Oreochromis niloticus: one gene and its partner. The protein of the gene in region 2 interacts with the protein of the main gene of each other region in a biochemical or structural test. Links are inferred from orthologs where the notes say so. Each region holds a gene or a part of one and is shown on either strand. Other genes may lie near its edges. The genes, in order: rap2aa and ral guanine nucleotide dissociation stimulator.

Region 1 (8,508 bases), on a different chromosome or scaffold from region 2:
TAACAAACGCAATGAATGCATTTGCTTTTAGAATAGAAAACTCCCATTAGTTACATAATGTACATTTGCAGTCCTCTTCACATTCTCTGGTAGAGCTTTAGTGTGTTACTCATGATGCTACTGCCACTTGTACGTCCCCAGAACAACGTGGAACCATTGGCTGGAATGTGGCTTGGACCTTCAGAGGCCTGTACTAAGAAGCAGGGTTTCATCTTATCCAGGTAATTTCAGGATTAAGTCTGATTTTCAGTATTACAATGGCAGACAACTTCTTACTGGTGTACATCGCAATGGTGTGAACCTAATCTGCTCAAGATCAGAGACAGGTATTAAATCTCTGCAGAGTGATCAATCAGTATTCTGGAAAATCTTGTCATCATTGCTGAAAGATCCATCAGACCTGTGTGCACGGAGAATAGATTATATATATTTTAAATCTATTTTATTGTTCTATATGCATCAATATATGAACCTGGCTTTCTTTCCTGGCTTCAAATAGGCTAAACTTTATTCATATAACAGCTCTTTACCAATCTTACTGACCAAAGTTCTTAAAGTGAACACTTACTGTATTATTCCACAGTGCTTTTCTCCTCACATACACTGCTGTGTATGTATTTTGCCAACAGTGAAGTTGCAGCGTGTCCTCTGATGGACAAACTGTACAACAGACACAGGATGCACTGAATTTGGATTTCTTACCTGTGTGCAATCTGGTCACCAGTCTTTGTACTGATGTAGCAGCACAGAATGAGCGCTGTTTAATATTTACAAGATTTTCCAACACTTTTCAGGAACAAAGAAGTCACCTTATGCAGCTGCAGTCATCAGAAGCTGTTATTAATCCTGCCAGCATGGATGAGGAGCAGAGAGCACAGTAAAAGCAAGCCGTTCCAGGTCTTAAATGAAATGTTTCTTGTTGCATGGTTAGTAGCAAACAAGGTCGATATTTGCTGATGTTAGAAAAAGTCTGAATAACCGAAGGAAATGTGCGCACTGCCATTCAGAGCGAACTTTCCGAAAGCAGGAGTGCATACAAAATGTGGGTCACAGCTTAATAATCGCATTGAATATGACATTTTTAAAGAAAAAAAAAAAGCACAATCCTAAGTTTTAGATGTCTAACTCCCCATGAAGCCCAGCACCAAATTAACTGCTGTGTGGGAGTAGTGTTGTGGAGGGCGATCTTTCTGCTACGGAAAATAAATTCTGCTGTCATATCAGACAACGGCACCAGACTCAGTGTTAGGTGTGAAAACACAACAGCCTGGCTGCATCTGCCCCGTGAGCGCACGCGCACACCATTTACATACAAGACGACACACGCTCACGCAGCAGACTCGACATACCTCTACTCGTACTCAACTCATATGGGAGAAACATGTTGACCTCATTCTTTCATCTGGAGCCACATAATAATAGGATTGTTTAGAAGGTGCATTTGAAAAAAGAAAGGGTCTAAATCCAATTAAGTGACAAAAACTAAAGGCAACCTATAAAAATAAACATCCACAGCATGATTATATTTCATTTTGAGGTGGAAGAGTGGAAGAACTGTGACAAGGGAGGGACAAAAACCTTATCCAACTACAGTATATAGTAAATAGCTGGATTATTAAACGGTATGAACTATAAGTTGATTTCAGTAGGGTTCTTCTTATTCTCTCTCCGGAGCCTATTTGACTCTCTGAACTAACTGTAACAAATCCACTGACACCTACAGTGACTGATGAACCCACACAGTCGCAGCCCAGCGCACAGTGCCTGCACACTGGAACACCGAAGCGGAGCTAACAAATACAGGACATTAACCAATCTGATCTGGATGACTTTTATAATCTCATGCTATGTCAGCAGGTGAGCATAGAGCATACAGTACAGCGTATCTGCACAGTACATTGGCCTAGAGCAAAGGAACACCAATAACATGACAGCTCCACGCAGCCTCAGCTAACCTCTCCCATGTGTCAATCAGCAGCTCACTGTGGTGACCTCATATCTGGATCATCTGTGCAGCAGCTCTGAGACATCAGGCTTTCCATTGTGCTGCTCTTCCTAAAGAGCTTGTGCAGCTTCTTAATTAAAAACACGGTGACTCCTCTGCAGATCTGTGCTTTCAACAGTCCCGCAGCTTTTTTTGTTTTTTTTCAGCCACTCTTTCTTGAAAGCTCTCTGCAGAGCCTCTCTTGCACTGGATCCTGGGTATTCCCGGTTGGGTGTTTCGCAAAGGTTGCAGCATCCAGTGGACACGGAGCGGCACTAGACAGCAGCTTGGCAGATCACTGACGCTATTTGTTTGCTCTGACAGGAAGACAGACGTGTCTTCGCAGAGCTGAGGGGTAGGAAGGATCAGCACTGTTGTCCTGTTAGTAAACACTAAAGTCAGACATTAGAAAGTCTGCAGGAACTTTATATGCTGGGTCAGAGGCGTGGGGGCAAGGAATATGGGTGAGACCTGGAATACCATAATAGGCATGGAGTGTTGTTGCCTTAAAGATGCATAACATCTCCAAGCAGGCCGAGACCCATCCTGAAACTACAGGGCCCATGAGTCCAGCATATGTGTGTGAAAAACAACCCCCAACAGTCACACTTAACATTATGGACATTACTCTTTTTTTTCCCCAGCACATGATTTCACCAACCTTTTCACTCTTATGATCTGATCCCTCATCGGCTTTATGTCCTGGAAGCTTTGCTGGTTGACAAGGCTGTAGACCAATATGAATCCTTGACCGTTTTTGATGTACAGGTCGCGCATTGAGGCGAACTGCTCGGTCCCAGCGGTGTCAAGGATCTCCAGCACCGAGGGCGAGGAGTCCACCTCGATCTCCTTGCGGTAAAAATCCTCTATGGTAGGGTCGTACTTCTCAATGAACGTCCCGGTCACAAACTGCACAGTGAGGGCGGATTTCCCGACCCCACCGCTGCCCAGGACCACCACTTTATACTCGCGCATCGTGGGATTTAAATCAAGTCGTAAGGTATCAATCTCCGCGCGTCATTGAAATCAACGCAAAATGCTCCCGTGCGAATCTCGCTCACCATTCGTGTCCCATTCTGAACGGGCTGTCAATAACACAGTCTTGTTCGCTGCTGCTCAGCTATGGCAGAGCACAAAGACTCGGCACCCCAAGATGGATTTCATTGTAGATATTCCCCCCATGCAGGCCAGACACTGACAGTTATACGAGCATCCGAGGACTGGAAGTGTCCGAAAAATGCGCAAAGGGAGAAAGAGAAGCTCGCCCGATGGTGCTGAACGTGCGGGTGTTCATCTGCTTAGCTCACCCCTCTCTGTGCTTCATAAAAAAACAAACTTGCTCCATCGAGGACACTGGGAAAACGCTGGCTTAGCCCCGGAATGAACTGCAGGCGCAATTTTTCAAGCTGCAGACCGCCTCAGAGAAACTCTCCCAAATTAAAGTGCCCTGACTTTCAGTTAAAGAACTTGCGTCTATTTGTTTCTGTTTCACCATCTCTGACATGTCTCCGCTTCTTCCCCGCTCTCCAGTGCGATTCCAGCCGCCATACTCTCGGGTGGAGACCCGCGGCCGCTGCGTTACCAGCCGGTCCCCACTCGGCTCCCGTACCGAGGCACCAAAAAAATAAAAGAAGAAGAAAAAAGGAAAAGCCTGTGGATCCTCCTTCGTCAGATGGATACATGAACAGCCCAATGGGCGCTTCCGCTTTCTGTACACCTCACATGTGCCTGAATGGCAGCCTCGCGGAGGAAGCCAGTGAGATTCGTCGCTGACATTTCCGTTCATGTGTTAAAATTCCCATCATTCGGTTGCCCCAGTGACATCCAAAGAGAGCTCATCCAATCACGGAGGCGGCTCGGGGATGTGTATCCAAGAGGAGGTGAAACGCACCGGATGCTGTTGCTATGGTAACGCTGCATTTAAATTTTTTTTATTTTGCTGCTATCCGAATCGAGAGTGAAAAGTCACTCACCTTGTAAACAAAAAATATAATAAACCTTTATTATTTTTTGATATTGAGCAATACAGGCTACACTCCAATTGAAACCGCCAGTTAAGTCTTTTTAATGGACTATTTTGGCTTTCATTAATAGTGATAAATACAATTCCACAGGACAGCTGTTTGAGCAAAGGGTAACACAAAAACATGAAAACATGCTCACTGAGGATGACACGTGATTTCTACTGCTGATGCATTGCAAAATTAAACAGAGCTCACAGGATGGCATTTACACGACATTCATATATTTATTTATGTATATTTAATATCAGATTGTACACAATTTAGAATTTACAGGAACAAAAATATCCACAAGAAATGATTAATTATACAATTACTTTTGGGGAAAATGTTTGCATTCAGAACAGGATGGATCCAAATAGCTGTTGCGTGACATCTTAACCAGAGGCTTCAGTGTTTAAATATGACAGATTGCAATAAAATGCTAGCCAACCCCACAAGCCAATCAATATCAGCCATTTCAGGTGTGGTTACAATCTGTAATAATGACCTCATGTTAGAAATGTGTGTATCTTAATTTAAGAGAAAGGTTCAGTGAAGTTTATTCTATTTATTAGACGACAAAGAAATCATAATTAGTGAACAAATACAGACTCAGTAATACACCAAAGGTAAGGCAAAGTTCACAGAAAGCCTGTCTTCTCAGTTGTCTGACTGTAGAAAAAGTGCTTAAGAGAAGTGTTTCCATCAGTCAGTCAGACCAAACATTCTTACTGTTCACATCTTTTTGACTGGGCGATCAAGATCTCAAACAACCTCTGTGTGCAGGTGGATCCATGACATTCAAACGTTTTGCCATAACGTAACACAAACATTCAAAAACATGCCTTTATTTTGAAAGTAAAATAAATAAGTGGGGAAATATTGTATGTCTAATAGCAGTCTAAACTTTTAAAGCAATTATATTTTGAAAGCCAAATACATTTTTAAGTTTGGTGCTCAACATGCAGAGGGAAGCCTTAACAAACACGAAACTAACATTTCAAAAGTTCTCTTTTATGCACTGTTTTACCCACAGTGTTTCACCATATAATAATAAAGTTAAATATCCAAGTTTGTAATCTAATTACTGTGAGGAGATACAGCTAATCTACCACCTACAAAAATACAGTTTTCATCACTGCAACTTGGGATTGCCCTCAGCAACAAATCAGACAATAAATGACAAACTACTGTTACACCATTATGAAAATTACTTCTTTTCTTTTTTGGAAAACATGTCCTGTACGATGCACTTTTGTACATAAAAATCAAACCTATGGCCTTGGTCATACAAAGGCTTGTTGTCCCTTACAGGTGACAAGACAGCAAAAAGGATGAATTGCTTTAAGTTTCTCCTTTGTCCAACATCAATCCCTGGACACAAGACTGCTTTTAACAGGCTAACAGATCAAGGTCCTTTGAGAAACCCTCAGCAGACCTAAAGTAATTTTAATAAATTGCATTCATCACAAAATAAAAGAATACATGTTAAAACTATTTTTAACTAACGTTACACTAGTAAAATATGCAATTATGCTCGTAAATTCTATTGACATGTAAAACATCACAAGGAAAATATATAATGAAAAAGTGAAGAAATGCAAAACATTCAAGAAAAGGTTTCTATTTGTACACCTTGTTTGCAAAATAGATAACTAAAATTCTAATAAAAGAAAGAAACAATATTTCTCTTAATCAGACACAATGCCCACCCTGTCTGCTGCTAGATAGTAGACAGTAATGAGTAACTGCATCATGCCGCATCAATCTCTCATGACTACATGTCACCAAATGTTTGCCTCCTTAAATTCTACTTTACTACAAAAAGTATTTGACCCTTTTTGCTACTTTCTTGTCGTAAAAATGAAAGAAAATCAAATTAAATTGAAAATTAAATTGAATAACATACACATTAAAGCATCAGTGAAAACAAACTGTAAGCCTAACTAACAGGTCCACACACACAATACCACTGCATTTACATGGTATTGCAAAAACATGTAGATTTAATCCTAATGTATATGTCTTAAGTGGAATAGATTTACTGAGTGTTTTTCCACACAACCATTTTAAAATGTACTTAGTCATTGCATGAACAACTGTTTAGGCACTTGTAACCTTCGATTAATACAGTACTGACAAGTGACTGCAACATTAAGACTAACAGTTGAGACACTACTCAACACGCAACCCTCACAGGATCACAAGAGCTTTAGTTTGAATATGAGCAGCAGTAATTTCATACTCTTACTGAGCTGACTTTCATGGCTGTGGAGGCTATATCAACTTGAACAAGTGAAAAGTATTTACAGATCCATCAGTGAGTCAGCAATTGTCTTGAGCAATAATGCACATTTACTAAAGAGGTGTTAAATTAGAAAAACAAAATTGCTTTGAACGGATAAAACATTTCATTTCTCTCAGAAAAGACAGAAAACAATCTGTATATGTAATGCAAAGGCACACCAGGAGGTGGAGCACTGATCCATTACTCTGGGTGAAGTATAGAGGGACTCAGAGCATTTTAAAGGGACATCCATAAACCTGCTGTTAGATTACATTTTTTTTTATATACACAATGTTTTGTTAAGTTTAAAGTTAAATTAAGTGCTTTTCTCTTTGATTAAAAGTTAAATCTGGCACTAGATGAGCAATCATTAACATCAAAAACAAAACTTTCTCAGTTTAAATAACACATTCAATAAAGAATATGATGATGATAAAACTGCAATATAATCTACAATATAGGACGCCTTTACACCTGACATTAACAGGTACTGTCTACAGACTGAGAAATGATTAAAATATTTACATTATTTAAAACATCTCTGTTGTTTACCGTCTCATTTAGTATTATGCCACTACTGCCAGTTTATTTCTCTGTAGCATCTGTTGTATTTAAGTTTGATTGGTGGCTAAATGCACCCATAACCCTATCAGAATTAGTTTAGGAAACAAATAAATAATGCACATTGATTGTTGAAGGTGCATGTTAGCAGGTGCAAAGGCGTGTACAATAACAATCTCTCTGACACCTATCACAGTATAATGTAGAGGTTCATTATAACTGCATGTAATGTATCATCACAGATCAAATTAATGTCAGATAAAGTCGGAGATGTTATCCGCATGCAGCTTCTTGTATTTTGTGTGTATTGTTAACAGAATATTTACAGAACGGCTGCCCGGGACCCTTAACAGCAGCAACACGGCACTGGCTTCTGTTTCTGGCGGTTACTTGAGGATGATCTGTTTCGGAGGCAAAGACAAGTCACTGAGTAGTTTCACACAACAGGTATACTGTACAATCGCCTTTGTTACAAGACAAAGATTATTAAGGAACTCACTCTTAAGTGATATGAAAATACAAAGTTTAAGTGAAATGAACTTTATCCTCTTAATATACAAAAAAAAAGATCACCACAAAATACTTTCCACAATCATGAAAAATGTCCACGACTTCAGCCTAACTTCAAAAGAAACATTATTTATTTATTTACACATTTTTAAAAATCAGTTTGGTCTAAAAAAAAACTTGCATAAAAACTGTTTCCTGCAATTTGATTTCTTAAGGACAAATGGGGCTTGACCTTGGAGCTAATTTAAGGTTAAAAGTTTTATTGATTTGCAAAAGTGATTTGGAACTGAAATTATAAGTTTTGATATTAAAAAAATGTGTTTAAACAATCAAATGAATTATTTTATACATTGAATAAATTGTTTTATGCATTTTTTAAGATAAGATAAGATAACCTTTATTAGTCCCACACGTGGGAAATTTGTTTTCTTACAGCAGAAAGTGGACAGTGCAAAGTTACATAGAAAAATTAGAAGAAAAAACCCCCACTGGAATAAGATAAGAATAAGATACTGAAACAGTTTTTAAAAAAGTTTCAATTATTCATCAGCTTCAAACCCTTTTTTTCAGCGTCAGACTTTTGACCGTGATTTTGTGTTGTGGCCGTGTATCAAAGGGGAGCTGCACGCGTAGACTAGTGATTGAAAGCTCCTGTGTCACATTGGTTACAAGTTTAAAATGAGCATTTTGGCTGAAGATGGTCATTGCTCCTTCACGGGATGCTGCCGGCACTAGCCACAGTTTCAGATTGTGCTATAATGGACTACATTGATGGGTCAATATTTGAAACATATTGATATACATACAGGTGGGGAAAAAAAAATTACCCCTACAACAAGGAATACTGTTATCTGATTGGGTGGTAGGTTGCAAAAAAGCTATGAACTCTGTAGAGAAATCTAAAAGTCACCTGTTCATTTCTGTACATTATATTGAAATTAGAATCCCCCCACCTTATTTAAACCTTAATACATCTTTAACCTAATGTATATACGGAGTTCATAGCACCTGCAATATCAACATGTTACAAAAATTCACTAATCAATATAGTCAATCATAGGATAATCCAGGAAACCATGTTGGCTGTTGGCTGGTGCCGGCAGCATCCTGTAAAGGAGCAATGGCCATCTTCCATCAAAATGCTCATTTTAAACTTGTAACAA
Region 2 (8,290 bases):
TGACCGCCGGCAGCACCACACCAGCCCCAGTGACCCCGTCATGCTGCAACACAACCTCAGCATCAAATAACATTCACGGCTTGTGCAGCAGGAGGGGAATAAAGGCAGCGATTGTGGAGGAAACCCCTCAGCCTCTGCAGGAGGGGGATTAGGTAATTGTGTTAGAGCAGAGGATTAGATTAGAGCAAAGGGACGAAGCAGAACAGGTTAGTAGGGGATGGGAGACCAGCAGGGGCACACTGAGCCAAATGGGGGGGGTTTAATAATGAACCTCTGATACCAGTCCAGTCTGACCGAAGAGACACCGGAAAGTAAAAAGAAGAGAACATGTAATCCAGGTACACAGACTGGAATACATGGTCTCCATGGTGACGTTGCCATACAATCCTTGGCTCCGTTTAAGACCAATAAATATGATTACTCATCCTCTCAACCTTATGTGATCGAATGTTCGAGATGTATGGAGCACAAGGCTGGAAAACGTTTATTTAATCCAGAACAAAGGCAATTTTTATAGTTAGCAATGAAACCATATCTATGAGCCTGGGTTTAAAGAGGACAGCTAGGCGGGGGGAACATGAGAGTTAGAGATATGAAAACAGTGTAGTGATAGAGAAGCAAAACACACGTGATCTTCATATACTGCAGGGACGATTTCCTGTTATTAACTGCTCTAAATTTGCAGAGCAAAGAAAATATTTGCATACCCATAAACCTCTATTTAATTCACAACAGAACACAGAAAACATATCATAAATATAACATTTTACACAGCATTGAAACTTTCACGCAATTGGGTTTGTAGTGTGTTCAGTCTTCTAAAGTCAAACATGTTAACATGTTCCGGTTTAGTTTACTAAAGAATAAGATAACTCTCCCTGTGTTTGAAGAGTGAAGCATTTAACCTGCATTCTCTCTAATGCCCAGCAGGGGGAGACTTTTCTAGTTGCACTGACTAGTCAGATTCTTTATGAATAAAGACCCCTGCTGCTCACTTGATCTATGACCCTAGCAAACGCTTTCCTGATGAGTTTGTGGTATCAATCGTTAGTTTTACGTCTTTTAAAATACATTTTATAACTTAAACTGCCACACAGACTCAAAAACCATAAAGCACAATATATCTCAATCTCATTAGTTTGTTCCATCTCATCTCAAACCAACAAGATGGTGACAGCGAAAAAGTTCACTCTGAGGCTTTAAAACCTCATTAACAAAAAACTGAATGTGGTCACACACAGCTCCGTGCAGAAGTCCTGCTGAACCGCGCTGGCTCATGCAACGTGACAGAGACTGAAGTTACAGGGGCACCAGCCAGTGGCATCCTAACATTGTTGAACCAGCAGGCAACTGCTGTTGTACTTCAATGAAATAAAAATAATTTGTTCAATCAACTAACATTTTTAGTGCCAACTAGTGGCTATGTCCATCTTTCATGTACAGGCTATGATCTGAGCTCTACTAGCATCACAATTCAACTCTATAGGAACACAAACAAGAGTCTAATTCTTGATTGTCCATCTGAGGTCTAAGACAGTGATCAACCCAACCTCTAAAAACTAGGGCCAGGGTAGTGAAGGGTTGGTTTTTATCGCCTATGCTGACTTAGACAACAGAGGGTTCACGTTACTGTGTTAAATCTGCTCTTTAGCCCTCCTAGAAATATAAATACAGTACACACAACACAAACACTTCAGCAGCTGTTACAGGTCTGTTTGTTAGTAATATGTAGTGAAAACACGAAATACAAATTAGTAAATGATTAATAATGTGAGATGCTGTCATCTTTTAATGGCAGAAATATGCAGTTTTTCTTGTTTTCATTTCAGTAAAAATAACAGCTGCTCAAGATTTAACGGCTCCAGTGATGCAGACATATCAGAGCACAAATAATAAGTGAATGCAGACAATGACGTCACCAACTACACCCCAATTTAATCAAGCATCCACTCAATTAAACCTGGACCGATCCACGGAGGCCCAACCCAGAACTCAGAGGCTCACGGTTCCCTCGGAGGGTGTTTTTGATGTAATACACACTGAAGTCATTCTGCTGCGTGTGTGCTTTTACTTTTAGATTCACTTTGATCGTGACCTGAACATGTAAAAGCATCTGATTCGCTGGCTGCAGCTTCTATATCTGAAAACCCGCTTGTTTCTTCGGCTTTCTATGAAATTACACTAAAGTATTTCTGTTTCAGATTGCTGATTGGACAAAAGAAGCCATGTGTAATCTTTATCATGACAACTATTCTAACAACGAAACAATGACTCAAACAGCTGGGGTAATGATCTACAGATTAATCTGTAATTACAGTAATCATGGCCACATTTAGAACTGCAGCGGAGCTTCCTAAAAATGATACAACTAACTGAATGGGTTTACATTTGTCTGATGAATTAGATCAGAACCAAAAACAAAATCTTAACTTCGCTCCTTTGTTAGGTGACTTTGTTGACCAATCAATGAATCATGTTGCTGCAGTAACAGGCCACTACATCCTGTAACAACTAGTGAAACTGTAAATAACACGATTGATTCAATGTATGCCCGCACATGTGGAAAAACCCCTAGAAGTACAAGCGACCGATGCAGAAAGCATCGTTCTGCAAAATGACAAACGACCACTCTCAGTATCAAACGTGCAGATATTTCATGGCATTTGGTGAGGTTTGACTCAACAACACCTGCACAGGAGGGTTTCAGTATCAAAGAGAATCAGAAGGAGGGAGGCGTGATAACCACAGGGCTGAAAGGTTCAATAACAACATGAAAAAGCAAGTCATCCTGTAACTGTACTCTAGTGCCAAGCAGCACCGCAGCATCATATTAGATTTCCCTGTATTGTTATGTTTGTTATGAGACTGTATTAACACTGTAAGATGCAGCCAATCAGCAGCTTTATACTGATAATCCGTTTACAAGGCTTAAAAACACAGGATTAGAGCGTTTATGGCACATTGCATCACCTGGGTGACTCACCATGTTGAATGTAAGCTTAATTAACGCAAATTTAAACATGTTTTATGGGCATAAAAGTAGATAAAGCTTTGAAATACGAGGATATAAAGCAGAAACATCATAAATCTCTGTTTTAACGGTAAGAAAATGTTTCTTTAAGAGGACAAGTGTTGTGTTATTCCTGCAGAATCGCAACCGAAGCCTGAAAACCTCTTTGGATCCACCCTCCTCCATGACAACACAACAAACCGCATCAGCTAACGGACCTCTCCTTGCCTCCTCACCCTCCTCCTCCTCCCCATCCTCCTCACCTCCACCAGCGGCAGGTCAGGGTCCAGGTGGGTGAAGCTGTGCAGGACCACCGGGCTGCGGTCTTCAACCACCTCTAGCCTCACGCCGTCCCAAATGTTCCGCACCCTCCACGAAGAGTCAAACATCTCGAGCAGCTGGCCCGGCTTGACGCTACGCGCCTCGGCTTGCATCCCCGGGAAATAGACCATGGATGCCCGCAGAGTTCAGTCACACCCCCGCGCTGACATTTCTAATGTTTTTTTAGGGCTCCCACAGACACACACTGCCGCTACCGCCTGAGGTTAACGCTTCTGTGTGATCATCGCCTCTCTCAGTACAGTTTATCACGGCTCTGACTCACACCGGGGCTTTTCTAAACCCCGCCCCCAGCTATCGGCGCCTTCAGGGCTGTCGGATAAACCAAACGCACAGGATGGCTTTAGCGAAAATTATGTTTTGTCTTGTATTTAATCCCACAAATTATACACATTTTTAAAAAGTTATAACTTTAATTACATTAACGTGAATACAACTTTGCAAAATTGCTGTTAAACATCTAACACGTACTCTTCATGGAAAAGGAACAAACTACTTCTTTCATTTACTTATTTTTCATTTACACAGATGTAATGAAATGCTATTAACGATACTTTAATGTTTATAACTACGGTCGTCACCATATCAGACTTTTACTTTGTGCTAAAACAAAACAAAAACAAAAAACACTCTACGGTTGTTGTTGTTATATTTTTTAGTCCAATTATAATAGTTTTCATTTTTCTCTTCTCCAGTTAGTTTACAGAGTGAGTTTGCTCATTTCAGTTAATTTTTTCATTGTTGGAAAATATTTTGTTCTACTTTAATATTTTTTAGTTTCAGCCCTAGTTTTAGATTTGGGTTTGTTTTTTTTTGTTTCTTTGTTTTTTAAATATTATCATCTGGAGGTTCTCTATCAGGGACAAAATTAAAATGAGTATTACAACAGAAACACAGTTTGTGACGGCAGTGGACTCACAGACATGCAGACAGCCTATTATCTCAATAAGCACATTCCCCAAAGCCTCATCACTCAAATTAACAGACCAGAAGTAATGTTATTTAATCTGCATTTTAATTTTATAGTGATTAATTTTCTAAGGTCACAAAATAATTTTATTTAATTACAGAAGTTTATATTTGCTTTTAACTTTAATTTCAAGTTTCCCACATTTTATTTTATCACACCTAAATTTAGGTAACTAAAGTAACCTGGGGCGACACAAGCACACTATAAAGTTGTTATGTATGAAACGGGAGTCTGCGAGACGTCCCTGAAGGCAGCACTTACTCCCCCGCTCTTACTCATGTGTCTGGGAAATGACGGCGCTGTTTGTGCCTTCACTGTGGCAGGAGGACTGTGTGGGAAAAGAAAACAGTGAAGTCTGCTGGAGTTACACTTTTACCGTGAGCCCAGAGCAGCTCAGCAAACAACACGAAGCTTCCCCCACCTTCTCCTCCACTGTTACACTAAAGCACAGCTTAAAGGTGGCGTACAGTTTAAAACAGTACAGTGCTGCTCTAACACCTTTCAAAAGGGCAACTTTGTACTTTTCCCTTAGTTTTCCAAAGATTGATTATGCATTAATATAAAAAAACAAATTACCTGTGAGTATGATAACTCGTTATAAAAGTCTAAGTCACACTTCAGCAGTTTTACTGAGATTATAGCTCTTTCAAGAGATCATTTAATTATAATTGTTTAGGTTTTTGTTTTGTTTTTTTGTCTTTTTAGGTTAATGGTTTGAGTTTTAAACATATTTGTGGGAAGATGACAAATAAATATGTATTTAAATGGGAAAAAGTCTAATTTTGTGTGTCTAAAATCTAAATTTTTCAACTTACATTTTAGTGTTTAACATTTTTATTCCGTTTTATTTTGATTAATCAAATGTATTGCGCTTTTACTTTACACAAGAAGTATATTATATTATTTTTTTATTTAGATCTTCACTTATTGAGCTTTTTAAATTTTACTTATTAGATTTTTTCATTTTTGTAATTTTTACCCTATTGATCTATTTAGCTTTGTCGCTGTTCTTTTTCTAGTCTGTTTAAGCTGTTTTGTCATAAGCTGCTGTAACTCTTTGCCAACTTTTAGAATAAACACATCCTGTCTGATCTTACTATACTTAGAAAATACAACAGGGAAAATCAGCAGGTCCTCAGATGAAAAGCTTGAATAATTTTTCCAAAATAAATGAGCTAAATTACAGATTAATATCGAAATAGCTCGCTGACCAAACTTTTCAGCTGCAAACAATTAGGAGCAAATGAAACAAATCCTCACTGAAACCACCTGAACACAAAGATCTCAATGTTATATAACCTTATCCTGCACACACCTTTTCAAAGCACTGCTGCACACCATAAAAACAAACAACCTGACTTTAACAGTCAGAAAGCACCTGAAAGCACCATCAGGAAGTCCCTGTTAGTAAACTGAATTTATTTGTGTTGTGGTTCAACAAACGCATCTTGGGGGAATTTTAGGGTAAGACTTCAGAGAAAGAACCTGAAGACTTAACGTCTAACGCTGCCCCCTACTGGTCAATGTCAGGAACAAACGTCTCCAATCACACAGAACAAATCTTAAATTCACCACAGCCTGCTTTAAACAGCAGAACAAAACCATTACCTAACTGTTACATTATTAAACCTTGATTTTCATTCACATGTTTTTCTTTTTGGATTTTTTTAGAAACAACCCACTGCTTTTCCACGCCAAGGCACTGACAGGTGTCAAAACGTTTTAGAAAATTTAAGGAAAACATCTGCCGCACCAGCTGAGGCTGAATGCAACCACAAGCACGTCCGACCTTTCCTCACCAAGCGGCTGCGCTTCATAACTCAGAAATCTGCAGCTGCCCGACGTGAAGAAGACGAGTGAGGGAGCAACACGGGTTTCTAAAAGTTTACACAGATTTAAGTTTCCAATAAATCAAGACAGCCATGGTTCACTGTGGAAGATTACAGTCCAGTGATTAAAAGTGGGAAAGGAGATATTTCCAGACAAATTTCAATTATTGTCACCACACCAATGAGCCAGGTCCTGTAAAAGCAGGTTTCCTGATATAACATGTTTTAAGTGTTTGAAGAAAGGTTTTGGTTTCATTTCACTTCATTTCTTGTACCTCTTGGGCAAAAGAGTGGTTAACTTTGTCCCCTCACAGCATGAAAGTCCTGGGTTTGAATCCTCGGGACAGCTGGGGGATTTCTGTGTGGAGTTCTGCAGGTTTTCTCTCTGGGTACTCTGCTTCCCCTCACAGTCCAAAGACATGCATTGCGGTTATGATTACTTGTGACTCTAAATAGCTGTGTGTTTCCGTGTGTTAGTCCTTCGACAGACTGGCGGCCTGTCCAGGATATATCCTGCCTCTCTCCCTACGGGATAAGCTCCAGCCACCTGCGACTCAAATAAGTGGAAGAAAGAGGATGCATGGATGGACTTCATTCCTTTTTAATTGGACAAATCACTTACAAGTATCCTTGATTACAAATAATAATCAATAATCAAACCATATGAGTCCATTTTTAAAGTGCATATTTTCAAATTGGCTCTGTGACCTCATAAAAAGCTCTGAATGCTGCATCTGATCGTGCAGCCGTATGATCAAATGTGGCTGTTGCTGTTTCTCTTATCACAAATTTGCAGGATGTTTATTTGAAAGCTTTTTATTAAAGTTTTTGTCTAAAAAAAGATAGAAATTTCCAGTTATTTAAATGTTTAAATTTCCACGCTTTCCATATTCTTTTAAAGATTTTTAGTGCCAATTTATTCCCAGTCCCTCAGTGGCCTGTCCAGTGCTTTTCTACCAGGCTGCAACAGAAACATGAGGCTTTATTTATAATCATTAATCAGAAGCAGAATCAGAGAGACTTTATTTATCCCCAAGGGGCAATTAAGATACAACAGAGCAGCAAAAACTATACTGCAAAAACGGCCAGAAAAACATCCTAAAGTCTGTTGTAACACAAAGCCTGACCCAGATGGTAGATCGGTTTGAAAGATAGCGTAACCCATGTCGAGCAAGACGTGACTATTCGCCGTTTCATCTGCACAGAGAACAGAGCAGCAGAAAGACTGAAAGTCACAGAATAACAAGCACTGGTACTAATATCTGCCCTACAAAATAACCCACATGGGCTGAATCCCAGAAATCTGACAGAGCCTGGAGGGCCGGCCAACTCTGAGTCTGCTGCGATTTAACTAAAGCTCTTTTTCCATCTGCTGGAAATCAACACCAGAGGATGTTGTTGTGCTGCTGCTGCTGCTGCTGCTGCGGGCCTGGCTGATGTTTTACGGCTCCCCGAGGACGGTGACGCTAACAGCCTGCATTACGTTCTTATTTTCTCACACAGAAACACTCGTGCTTTTACTGAGAGGCTGCACCCCCCGACCTACAGAAGAAGTTTCACAAAAGTATGTGAGGAGGGCAGATCCAAACGTCACTAACCAAAGAAAGATTCCCATCACGACGAGGGTAAAATTAAAATTAGGGCAGTGACATCAGCGGCTTATTTTAGTCCTGCTGACACTGAGCAGTGCAGAAAGTTCTTTATTCCTCCTGTCAGGAGGCCATTTAGCAAGGCATTAAAGCTGGGTGGTTATCCTGGGTTGCTGCCAGGCGCTCAATGTTTCCTCCAGTGCTTCACAAACAATAAACCTGAAACAAATAAAAGCCAAAGGGAGAGCCAGACATAGACTGGATATCGAGTTATGTAACAAGAGGAAAATAACAAGCCCATAAATCACGATAAACGGATTAATACAAGAAAAAATAAAGATTCACGTTCAAAACCCTTCTCCTAATAAAATCAACTAAATCTGTATAACTCAACTTCAGTGACCAGGCGTTCACAGCTGATGATTTATGGTCTGCAGAACTGCACAGAGCACAGGTTTTCATTCTACCTCAGATAAAAGAACCAGAGCTGAGGACAGACAGAAGCCTAAAGAACACATTCAACCAATCTTGGCACAGTTTAATCGCACCTGTG

Evidence for each region.
Region 1: the proteins of ral guanine nucleotide dissociation stimulator (region 2) and rap2aa form a complex in vitro, tested with the Homo sapiens proteins (2 studies listed by BioGRID). The link is inferred for Oreochromis niloticus from reciprocal best matches to the Homo sapiens genes RALGDS and RAP2A.

The regions. Positions count from the first base shown.
Region 1 is NC_031987.2:17,417,849-17,426,356, forward strand, and holds the start of rap2aa (ras-related protein Rap-2a), read right to left. Parts: upstream 3,861-8,508; 5' UTR 2,960-3,860; coding exon 2,646-2,959; intron 1-2,645. Other genes in the region: muscleblind-like protein 2a, read right to left, coding at 7,109-7,236. UniProt on the Homo sapiens protein: Small GTP-binding protein which cycles between a GDP-bound inactive and a GTP-bound active form. In its active form interacts with and regulates several effectors including MAP4K4, MINK1 and TNIK.
Region 2 is NC_031977.2:33,217,171-33,225,460, forward strand, and holds the start of ral guanine nucleotide dissociation stimulator, read right to left. Parts: upstream 3,688-8,290; 5' UTR 3,463-3,687; coding exon 3,274-3,462; intron 1-3,273. UniProt on the Homo sapiens protein: Functions as a guanine nucleotide exchange factor (GEF) activating either RalA or RalB GTPases and plays an important role in intracellular transport. Interacts and acts as an effector molecule for R-Ras, H-Ras, K-Ras, and Rap.